Linked DNA regions of Daphnia pulex. The protein of the gene in region 1 purifies or fractionates together with the protein of each later gene. This does not show direct contact. Links are inferred from orthologs where the notes say so. Each region holds a gene or a part of one and is shown in the gene's direction. Other genes may lie near its edges. The genes, in order: synaptosomal-associated protein 29-like, alpha-soluble NSF attachment protein-like and syntaxin-17-like.

The links.
Region 2: the proteins of synaptosomal-associated protein 29-like (region 1) and alpha-soluble NSF attachment protein-like purify together in Drosophila melanogaster (affinity purification with mass spectrometry; 3 studies listed by BioGRID, with this or other methods). This does not show direct contact. The link is inferred for Daphnia pulex from reciprocal best matches to the Drosophila melanogaster genes Snap29 and alphaSnap.
Region 3: the proteins of synaptosomal-associated protein 29-like (region 1) and syntaxin-17-like purify together in Drosophila melanogaster (affinity purification with western blotting; 4 studies listed by BioGRID, with this or other methods). This does not show direct contact. The link is inferred for Daphnia pulex from reciprocal best matches to the Drosophila melanogaster genes Snap29 and Syx17.

The regions. Positions count from the first base shown.
Region 1 is NC_060025.1:1,294,062-1,297,287, forward strand, and holds synaptosomal-associated protein 29-like, read left to right. Parts: upstream 1-1,405; 5' UTR 1,406-1,524; coding exon 1,525-1,845; exon of another isoform or gene 1,846-1,917; coding exon 1,918-2,019; exon of another isoform or gene 2,020-2,088; coding exon 2,089-2,514; 3' UTR 2,515-2,710; downstream 2,711-3,226. Other genes in the region: TBC1 domain family member 10A-like, read right to left, coding at 1-14, 90-304, 375-471, 548-1,029.
Region 2 is NC_060021.1:555,406-559,345, forward strand, and holds alpha-soluble NSF attachment protein-like, read left to right. Parts: upstream 1-1,426; 5' UTR 1,427-1,563; intron 1,564-1,630; 5' UTR 1,631-1,641; coding exon 1,642-1,736; intron 1,737-1,796; coding exon 1,797-1,993; intron 1,994-2,058; coding exon 2,059-2,223; intron 2,224-2,276; coding exon 2,277-2,524; intron 2,525-2,615; coding exon 2,616-2,792; 3' UTR 2,793-3,399; downstream 3,400-3,940. UniProt on the Drosophila melanogaster protein: Required for vesicular transport between the endoplasmic reticulum and the Golgi apparatus. Also between the endosome and phagosome.
Region 3 is NC_060017.1:5,925,347-5,928,769, reverse strand, and holds syntaxin-17-like, read left to right. Parts: upstream 1-1,374; 5' UTR 1,375-1,515; coding exon 1,516-1,638; intron 1,639-1,704; coding exon 1,705-2,097; intron 2,098-2,162; coding exon 2,163-2,524; intron 2,525-2,592; exon of another isoform or gene 2,593-2,613; coding exon 2,614-2,698; 3' UTR 2,699-2,774; downstream 2,775-3,423.

The DNA.
Region 1 (3,226 bases):
ATAATTCCACCTGACTAAATTTAATTTAAAAAAACAATAGTAGAATGTATACTATAGCGATAATTGAGAAGCATTATTGCTTTAATTACCCAGGTCCATTGGAATCGGCAAACATCTCGTGCATGGGGAATTGTCGATGTAAATCTTTTCGGATGTCATCCAGCCATTTGGGATCTCCGGGCTGAGCGAGTAGATCGTCGAACACGCCTTTATTCTTTTCCATTAGAACACCACCGCCGCACAAATATTGCCACGCTCTGGGACGGATAGAACTGGGTATTCCTTTCCTACACCTGTCTCTTACCTGTTGATTACAAATAATTGGGTGTTAATAGAAACATGAAAGACAAGAAAAATAAAAGATATTGCCAAACCTTTTTGTATTTGTATGTCATATACTTTTCCCAATCATCTAACATGTTTAACCACTTCAGCTCTCTTTTGCGAAAAATGGCAATCATTGCTGGGTTTCTAAATTGAATTCAAAATAAGCAAATACAATAGTGTTAAACTAATAGGGGATTCAAGGGAAACAAATAAAACTTACATTTCAGTGTCATGACTGAACTGAGATCCTCCAAAGAAACCATATCTGTCGGGGACTGTTGATGCTATTGATCCACCATAAATAACACTGCTGACATCATCATCAACATCGGTTTGATTAAGGGAACCATTCATTGATTGGTTCTTTGTAAGAAGCTGTCTTTCCTGAGATTGGAACTGGGCAATGTCAGGAGCTGATAACACTGCATCATCAACTCCAAGGATCTCTCTGCTGAGCCTGTTTTGTCGTTTTGCTAGCTTCCTATCTCCACTAGGACCCTGTTCACATGAAGGCTGACGGTAGACTGATTCAGAACTAAAGGGTTCTAAATCAATCATATTGATTCGTTCAAGTCTTTCAAGACTTTTTCGAAATGTACGTCTTTCCACAGTTGTTGCACTGCCATCATGGGCTGTTTCGACGTTGCGAAGGAACGGAGATGTTATCACTTGAAGTGATAATGGCTCGTGACGAGTGGCCATTGATTATTTCAAATATTTCGCAATTATTTTATCAGGAAATAAGGCACTCATGATACTGACACGTTCTAAGGACAGTTGCGTGACTTCACACGTAGATATTTTGATCACGGGAAAACAAGTGAAGTAAGTAAGAAGGGCTGCTATGACGAGAAAGAGGTGGGCTGTTCCCTCAGCCTGGTGAAGCCTCGCAACATTCCTTAAATTAGCTAATTTTATTAAATATTACTGATTCATATGAATGAATAATAATAGAGAATTATTTTTTGAAATTTTTAAATGAACTTAAAAATAATAATATGTTTTAATTGATTTGATTTATGTTACTTACAATTTTATTAAATCATTACTTTTGTCGTCGCTAGAGGGAAGACATCAAACCTTGGTTACGACTCTCGGCAGTCTCTTTAAAGGCCTTGACAGCTTCGGAGGGCATGCGAAAGTGAGTGAGCAACAAATAATACATACAAGGAAAAGTGTATTAGTGTCGAAAAAACTATGGCTGGATCCAGTGGGCGTTACGTCAAGTCTAAAGGTTCAAATCCATTTTTTGACGATGAAGACGACGTGGACGACGAAGAATTTCTACAAAGGGCACCCAATAGGTTCAATAACTTTGGAGGAAAATTAGCCAATAGTTTGTCGGGCGGAAATAACAGTTTCCAACCTCTGGACGGAGGAGAAAATCAGAGCGCCGATGAACGTAGACGACAACTTCTTATGGAGAAACAGAAAATAGAAGAACGTACTTTGCAGGCTTCAGGGCGAGCTAAAGGAATGTTGTATGAGACTGAGCAGATTGGAATCTCCACCGCTGAGGTTTGCACATAAGCTTACATTAGAAAACCACTTAAAACTTGATTCATTTTCCCCTTGAAAATACCCAACCAGGACTTGGTAAGGCAGAGGGAACAGTTAGAGAGAACTGGGAGCCGACTGGATGAAATGAATAATTCATTGAGGACTTCAGAGAGACACATACAGAATATCAAGGTAGTCTATCTATATTTTATAGCATTGGTTGGTTGTTTTTTCCTTAACACAGATTTCATTGATTTTTAGAGTGTGTTTAGCAGTATGAAGAACTACTTTTCTAAGCCTTCAGAGCCACTCAAAAACTCTTCTGAAGGGTCTTTGTTAAAGCCTAGTTCCAGTAGTAGTAGTAGCAATCTTTCCAAGGTACTTGAGCAAACATCATCACCGATTGACCGAGACTCACCATCACAGCAACAGCACCCAGCATTGAGGATTAAAGGACTTGAAAATGATTTTAGTCACAAACCTCTTTCCAATGTCGACGAGCAGCTAGAGCAAGATCTGGGTGACATGAGTTTGTCCCTGTCCCGTCTGAAAGGTCTCGCCCAGGGATTGTCGACTGAACTGGAAGATCAGAACACGTTGATCGATCGGTTGCAGACTGGTGCCGACAAGGCTGACTGGAGAATCCAGCGTCAAAATAAAGATATGGAACGTCTTCTGAAAAAGTGAAAACCCCACGAGTCCATGTTGTTTCCAACTTGTGATACACAAAGAATTAGAATTGAATGAAGAAAAAAAAACTCTTTTTGTTTTAAATAAGAAAATCTGTCCCCCTCTTTTTGCGCACCAAGGTAAATTGCCAGCACACTCCCAGTGTGTATATATATTATATATTCATGGAATAATACATTTAGGTGAAACACGGTCTGATAAAAAGAAAGAAAAAAATGATTATTTGCATGAATTCAATTGGGGATAAGTTTACTAGGTATTTTATTAGTATATGAAAATTTTTTCCTGAGAGTGTTTAATCATCCGCAAGGAATTTTGCAGATGTTGTGGAAAGATGAGCGGACGTGGTGATCGTGTTATTGCCTGTTTCACGATTCGATGATCATGAGAACGAAACGAGCCGGACGGTATGAATGGCAATTTTTTTTTTCGTTTTGAGAAACTTGTTTTAGTTGACAAGAACATATCCACACAATGTCCTGATGGGCCAGCTTGTCTTTGCGGATGTCTGCACCAGCTGTTATTACGGTTCATTTGTTGATTTTAGCCGCACACTAAATTGCCATTGTCTTCGTTTGGCGACTGTTTTCTGTTTCCGTTTTACAACAGAAGACCATTGGTCGGAGTTCCAGTTCATACAAACCGCAAACGTAGCACCTTGAAATGTGGAAAAAGGGGAATTGGCCGCACATTTATCACAGTCACAGTC
Region 2 (3,940 bases), on another chromosome or scaffold:
AATTTATTCCACCTCACTGCCGACGCCGGACTACCTTTTGGCCTTTTTCTTGCTTTTTATAAACGAAATCGGGATACTTTATTCATCAAATTAACAGACGTAACAAAATGGTCCGTTATCACTATAAAATTACAAGAACTTTAAATTACTCCAAATGAACCTGCATTTGAAATTTTCTTGATTAGGCATTGATTTACACATGAAAAAAAGCCTAAAACTAAAATTTCTTTATTTGTTTAACAAGCGATCCACGAATCAAGTAGACCAAAATCCCGGAGCGGCTTTCCTGATCTAAATCCGGAAAAGGCATTAAAAATCTAAAAAAAATATAGCCATGTTCGTCTTCGCACGCCGGATTTACCTGCGTTTGCAGAATGACGATTTTCCCCCCCGTTTAGGAGTTATTTAGCTCTAAAGTTTGATTTTTTTGAATTTTGTCAGAAAGTGGGGGGGCTTTGACATCCATTTTGGAAAAAGTGGGGGAGCTAGGGAAAAAACTAATTTTTTGAAAAGGTTTATTGCATACTCAACCACCGAAATCCAAAAGGAATTTCCTTTCCGGATTTTATTGGTTGAGATATTACCAATTTAGTGAAAAGATAATTTAGCTGGTTTCCCTCCCTGGCTTGCAGCCATTTTTTCGTACGGTCCGCTGCGCTCCTGGTGGAAGCCAGCAGAAGGTCTTATACATCGGCCTATAAGAAACCTGGGTTCACTATATATGAAGGCCTGTATAAATGCAATGGGTCTAATGTGAAGGCCGATATATAAGACCTTTTGCTGGCTTCCACCAGGAGCGCAGCGGACCGTACGAAAAAATGGCTGCAAGCCAGGGAGGGAAACCAGCTAAATTATCTTTTCACTAAATTGGTAATATCTCAACCAATAAAATCCGGAAAGGAAATTCCTTTTGGATTTCGGTGGTTGAGTATGCAATAAACCTTTTCAAAAAATTAGTTTTTTCCCTAGCTCCCCCACTTTTTCCAAAATGGATGTCAAAGCCCCCCCACTTTCTGACAAAATTCAAAAAATCAAACTTTAGAGCTAAATAACTCCTAAACGGGGGGGAAAATCGTCATTCTGCAAACGCAGGTAAATCCGGCGTGCGAAGACGAACATGGCTATATTTTTTTTAGATTTTTAATGCCTTTTCCGGATTTAGATCAGGAAAGCCGCTCCGGGATTTTGGTCTACTTGATTCGTGGATCGCTTGTTAATACCAAAGTCCGGTTGTCAAAAATTCCATCAATCGGTGAAAATGGCGTGGTTCAATAGCGTTATGAAGTGAAGATGGCATTTGTAAGGAATCGAATTTAATTTTTTTTTTTTTTTTTAATTGGTCCGACTTCTGACAGTTTTACCGCTTTTACTGTATTAGGAGACGCCACTTTACCTATGTTGCGTTGTTGCCTTTACTATGTTGTCAGCAGGTGGCAGCACGTACTGACCAGTAAAGGACTAAACAATACTAGTTCGCCGGCCTTTGTTATGCAGAATGTCATGATCGATATACGTAATATTGTCTGACAAGAGAAGTGCAGCTGTATTCATTTGTTGCAAAATGTACGTTTATTTAACGTCTTATCATTCACATTTGTTATGTACACGCAAATAATTTTACTTACTTTAGAGTAATCCACAATGGCCGACAACGAGCAAAAAGCAGCCCAACTAATCGCCGAGGCTGAAAAGAAATTGAACTCGGGAAAGAGCTTTTTTGGTTCTCTATTTGGAGGGTAATTCATTCCAGTATGTTGCATTATCCTCCCATTCTGATTATTGAATTATTTGTGTAGAGGATCATCCAAAGTTGATGAGGCTATAGAATGCTACCAACGAGCAGCAAACTTGTATAAAATGGCAAAAAAATGGTCTCAAGCTGGTCAAGCCTTTTGTGAGGCAGCAGCTCTACATCTTAAAGCTGCTGGACGTCATGATGCAGCCACCAATTACATTGACGCAGGCAACTGTTATAAGAAATCTGAGCCCAATGGTAAACATTACATGTTATATTCTATTTTTATCTAATATCAACTAATATTTTTCTAAATTCAATAGAGGCTGTTGCTTGCCTCCTCAAAGCTATTGAAATATATACTGATATGGGAAGGTTTTCTATTGCTGCCAAACACCATCAAACCATTGCAGAGATTTACGAAACAGAATTGGCTGATCTCGAAAGAGCTGTGCAACATTATGAACAAGCAGCTGATTATTTCAAAGGTAGTAGAGTTTTTATTTTTTTAAACATTTTAATTAAAATATTGTATTCACAGGTGAGGAAAGTAATAGCTCTGCCAACAAATGCCTTTTGAAAGTGGCTCAGTATGCAGCCCAGTTGGAAAACTATCAAAAGGCGATTCAGATTTATGAGCAAGTTGCATCAGCTTCTCTGGATAATTCACTGTTGAAGTACAGTGCTAAAGAGTACTTCTTCCGGGCTGCCCTTTGCCACTTGTGCATTGATTTGTTGAATGCCCAACATGCTGCCCAGCAATATGAGAACATGTATCCAGCTTTTCAGGTATGCCATTTATTTCTGATCAACACAATGTTGATTTTCAATAACAGTTTGGATGACCTCAATTAAATAATAACTTCATTTGTTTTTATAGGATTCCCGAGAATGCAAGCTGATCAAGGCACTCATTGGTCACATGGAAGAACACAATGTAGACGGATTCACCGAAACGGTCAAGGATTATGACTCCATTTCACGGCTTGATCAATGGTACACTACAATGCTTTTGAGGATCAAGAAGCAGATGGCTGAAACACCTGACTTGTGTTAAGTCAGAAGATCCAAAACCACTCGACGATCGGAAACCTATAGGATATCGTAGCTTTTTTTGCTGGTTTATGGCACACCCTTTAATCTTGCGCATGTACACATTAGAAGCTCCCCCATACACGATTATTCTGTTGTAATATCTTTCGATTGTCTAGTTCCATACGTTTTTAGCATGATCGCGAAGTGTACTATTCTATACATTTTTCATTCCACATTAATTCTTTTGCTCTCTGTCTTACACTGTTCATTATTATTTTTTTCAAATTCGTTCTTGTCCATTGTTCTCTTACGTTACAGTGTACAGTATATGTTCATCGTTGGACTTCACTCGGTTTTTTTTCCTAATTTGGTATTTACTATATACTCCGCGATATAGTTGTTCTTTTCACCTTATATTGTCTTTATAGAGGTTGATCTTTCAACTGCAAAATGTGTTAAAAGAAAAGGCAAATTCGTTTAATTATTCGTAGATGAATAGGCAAAAAATTTCGGTACTGTTACTTTTCTTCCCTTTTTCTTGCTGTCGGATAAATTGTATGCCTCAACCAAATTTGTATTTGTGTGTATCAATGTTTGTAGTTCAGAGAAATCCAACGTGGTGAAGTTTACCTTTGCGGTTTTTTTTTGGCTAAAGTTATAAATTAGTATAGTTCTTTTAACATTTAAAATCCTTGCAGTCCTGTAACAGATTTTTAAAAGAATTAAGAATTCAAAGTTTTATTGTGTGTTGTCAAAATATAGGCTCATAAAAGCTTGATTAATGCTACAGATTTTCGATTTTACGAACATATTGCAGTATCTTTTTATCTTTCCAAAATGACAAATGTTCGCAAAGCCGTACCCTATTGAAAGATGGCGCAAGCGTCAAGGTAACTTCACTAGGGTTTTGTGGGATTAATGAACCAGAAATGGACATATTGCGAAAAAACAACTTACAAGTTTTTGGTATTTCGGTCAAGTGTTGATTCCAATTCCGTGTTGTACTAAATCGTACACAATAGCTATACATAGTAGTGCTATATTTAAAAACTAGTAGAAAAGGAATGCAGTATAGGAAGTATACTCGTATGACTGTGCTAAGTCGATTGAAAAGTAACAATTTGGCAGTTTCAGATGAAAGAGGAGACGATGAACCTTGCGTTCAAATTT
Region 3 (3,423 bases), on another chromosome or scaffold:
TCACAGCGGGTGAGTGACCACCGGCGGGCGTTGGTTAGTGGTTAGTTAGGGAAACGGGGCCGCAGAAAAGAAGGGAGCCCAGATATGAACTTGTAATTTATCTAAAAACTACACAATTGATCAGTCTTGAATTACAGCATCCTCTCGTCAGTTTCACCATCCGATGGGTCAGTCTTTGGAAAGGCGACGACGGATTCACCTGAAAAGAGATTAAAGTAAGATTTTATTAATAACGATGCGTTGAGAAACAAATCAACAAAAAACAATGGAGAGCACTTCAAAAATATTGAATCAAATCAGCAAATCACAAATATGCACTTATTGTTTTCTTATGCCATATCCTATAGTTCAGGAAAAATTACGATTTTGCCCGAATATCTGATATTCGACTGTTAGTTCTTTTGGGCATCAAATAAGTACTAAATTAAGTACTGACTCTTTTTAAATCCGAAAGTAGACAAGCAAATTACATGAGACTACCAAGTGAGCTTTGTAGCTTACGGTCAGTTATCACAATTATCTAACGTAATAACTGCCGATAGTCTTATATGTCGATAGAATTGCGTAAAATAAAAGAAACTGAAACAGCGAAACTATTGTTTTTTCTGACTGATGAAAAACGATCTAAGCCATCGTCTAGCCTTGTAAACAAGAGATATTTAAAGTTTTAAACAGCAAAATTAAAAAGATCCATGCTCTAGCTAAATCAAGACTTATACTAAAATAAGAAACAATCATAACAAACAAAAACATAAAAAAACCTAACACTCACGCAAATTATACTGCCACATTATCACAACCAAAGTTCTTTCTTTTAAGGCACCGTTCTCTGGACAAAATATTTTCCAAAATTCTGATCAGAATCAAAAGAAGAAGTAAAAGGAATTAGTATAAACTTTACAGCACAACTTACAGTAAAACTTACACCACGAATATGAAGAGAATTTCAGTTGGATATTTTGCATTTGTCCTTGATTATCTTTGGTTGCAATTGAAGAACAACCTGGATCATGCTATTTTCCTGGATTTTTTCCTAATGGACATGGATTTCACTGTTTCAAAAAATCAGATATCAAAAGAATTGATAAGTGTTGAGGAAATAAAAAATACAAATTGTTAAATCAACTAAGCGCAATACACACTTAATCTGCTTTACCACATTATGCTACTTAACAAACATTTTGAAATGCTAAAAAGCTCACTTTAAAAACTGCATCGAAACGTGAAAGACAGTAACTATAACCGTACACACTAACCATGGCAGTAGAAAGATCATGTGATGTGATTCGTCTACTACTAGATAGCTTAAGGTTGATTCATTTATTACTAGATGGCTTCTGTGTCAAAAATATAAAAGTTGATTCATTTATTACTAGATGGCTTCAGTGTCAACACAAGAACAGAAAGAACATAAACAAAGGCCGTTTTCAGTCGTAATAAGAAATAAGCTTACGAAATCCTTCAAGTGTGAAAATAAAAATCTATGTTTTCAGCATTGGTTATGTCAGTGAAATAATGTCAAAAGTTAACAGTTCTTTCAGAGTAAGAATATATGAATTACCTCTGAATCGCTTCGCAAATGTTGCGTTGCCACAGTTTCTTGGACAGCTACAACAACATGAAAGCAACCTAAATAAAGTTGGTCTTTATGATTAATGCACATTTCTATTATTATTTTATAATTTAACTGTTTCATTTGCATAGCATATCAAGGAGAAAGATTGGGACAAAGTACGAACTGAACAGCTAAAATTACAACAGGTTGCTTCTCAATTGCAAGCTGCTCTACGAGAATTAGAAGGAGTTGGATGTCAGTTGAAACCGGAAGATGAAAAGGAGTTTGAAAATAAAATTAGACCTTACAGAATTCAAGCTTTAAATGCTGTAAAAAAATTTAAACAAAACCCGAATGAAAACTTTGATTCCCATGTATCGGAAAGTGAACAAAAGCAACAATTGATGCTAAGTCAAGAACAGATTTTACCAGAAGAAATTGAAGTAGAGCAACGAAAAATTCAGCTTGAGACATATGAAGATTTGCAAAAAGATATAGAGGAGTTACACAACCTATTTTCAGAATTTGCTCAACAAGTTCATGTAAGTCTCCTTGATATATATATATTTTTTTTAAAACAATAACATTGATAAAACATTTAATGTAGACTCAAGGAAGTACAGTCAGCAACATTGAAAGCAATGTTGATGATGCTCTAGAAAATGTTAAAGAAGGACAACAGAATTTGGCCAAAGCTGCAAAGTTTAAGGCAACTATGTATCCAGTAACAGGAGCTCTTATTGGTACTTGTATTGGCGGCCCTGTTGGCTTTCTTGCTGGCTTAAAAATAGGTGGGCTTGCAGCACTTGGAGGTTCTTTATTGGGCTTTGCAAGTGGTCGTGGTTTAAAGAAATGGCAAGAATCGGTCGTTAATGAACCAGCTGAAAATTTAACCAAAAGTCAGTCATCTCCTGTTAATTTAGGCAATACTTCTGGATCAAAAACAGTTCCACACTCAATCAGCTTTAGGTAACTTTCTAAAATATTTATAGGGATTGATTAAAATAAAAATGGTAACATTTCTTTATTTTTTTTTAAAATCTATACGTCGTCACCAGTGGTTCACATCAGAAAGAAACGATGGCGATTGATTCCAAACGTGATGACTGCGACCGTGATCGACTACATCTAAAAAACCTATAAGTGGATTACTATATTTATCTGGACTGAAACTGTAATATAACGTTTGCGAAGTTTTAAAATGTCGTATTTATGAGTATTCTCTTGTAACGTGTTGACTTAGTTAGTTAAGTATATCCTACGTCTTGTTAGTGGGTGGACTCCTGTAGTTACAAGTTGGTCGTTCTCGATTGTTGGAAGAGGCGTAAAAATCTGATTCTCCTGGATCGAAATCTTAATTCCCGCAGGGAGACTAAGATGCAGTGAATTCTAAATCGAAGAAGTCAAACATTCCATGTTTTCGAATATTTGTCAAGTCAAAGAAGTTGGCGAAGCCAAAGAAGATTGTGAAATGTATAAAGTACGACCATAAGTAGAACTCGGCGCAACCCGAAGATTCCGATCGTGTGCAAACTAGCCTGTGTTTCGTATTGTAACACACTGCTCTTGAGAAACAAAGGGGATCAAGCCCCGCTTCCCCTGCCCTTCTAGAAAACGGCGGAGTTCGAAGAACTGGGTAAGTGGATGGCAAATCTGCAAATAACGTCCCGTCTTATTATTGCTCAGAACCACGAAATAAATAAAAGAGATCCAGCCAAGTATAGTAGGATTCCAAAAGAAATTGGATGGCAAATCAATAACCCGAAACTTGACAGAATACTTAGTAAAGAAGGCTGTAAAGAAGGAGCTTGATTGGGCATGGCTTTCCATTTAAAAGTTGAAAAAGTTTCACTTCAAGGAGTCGACAC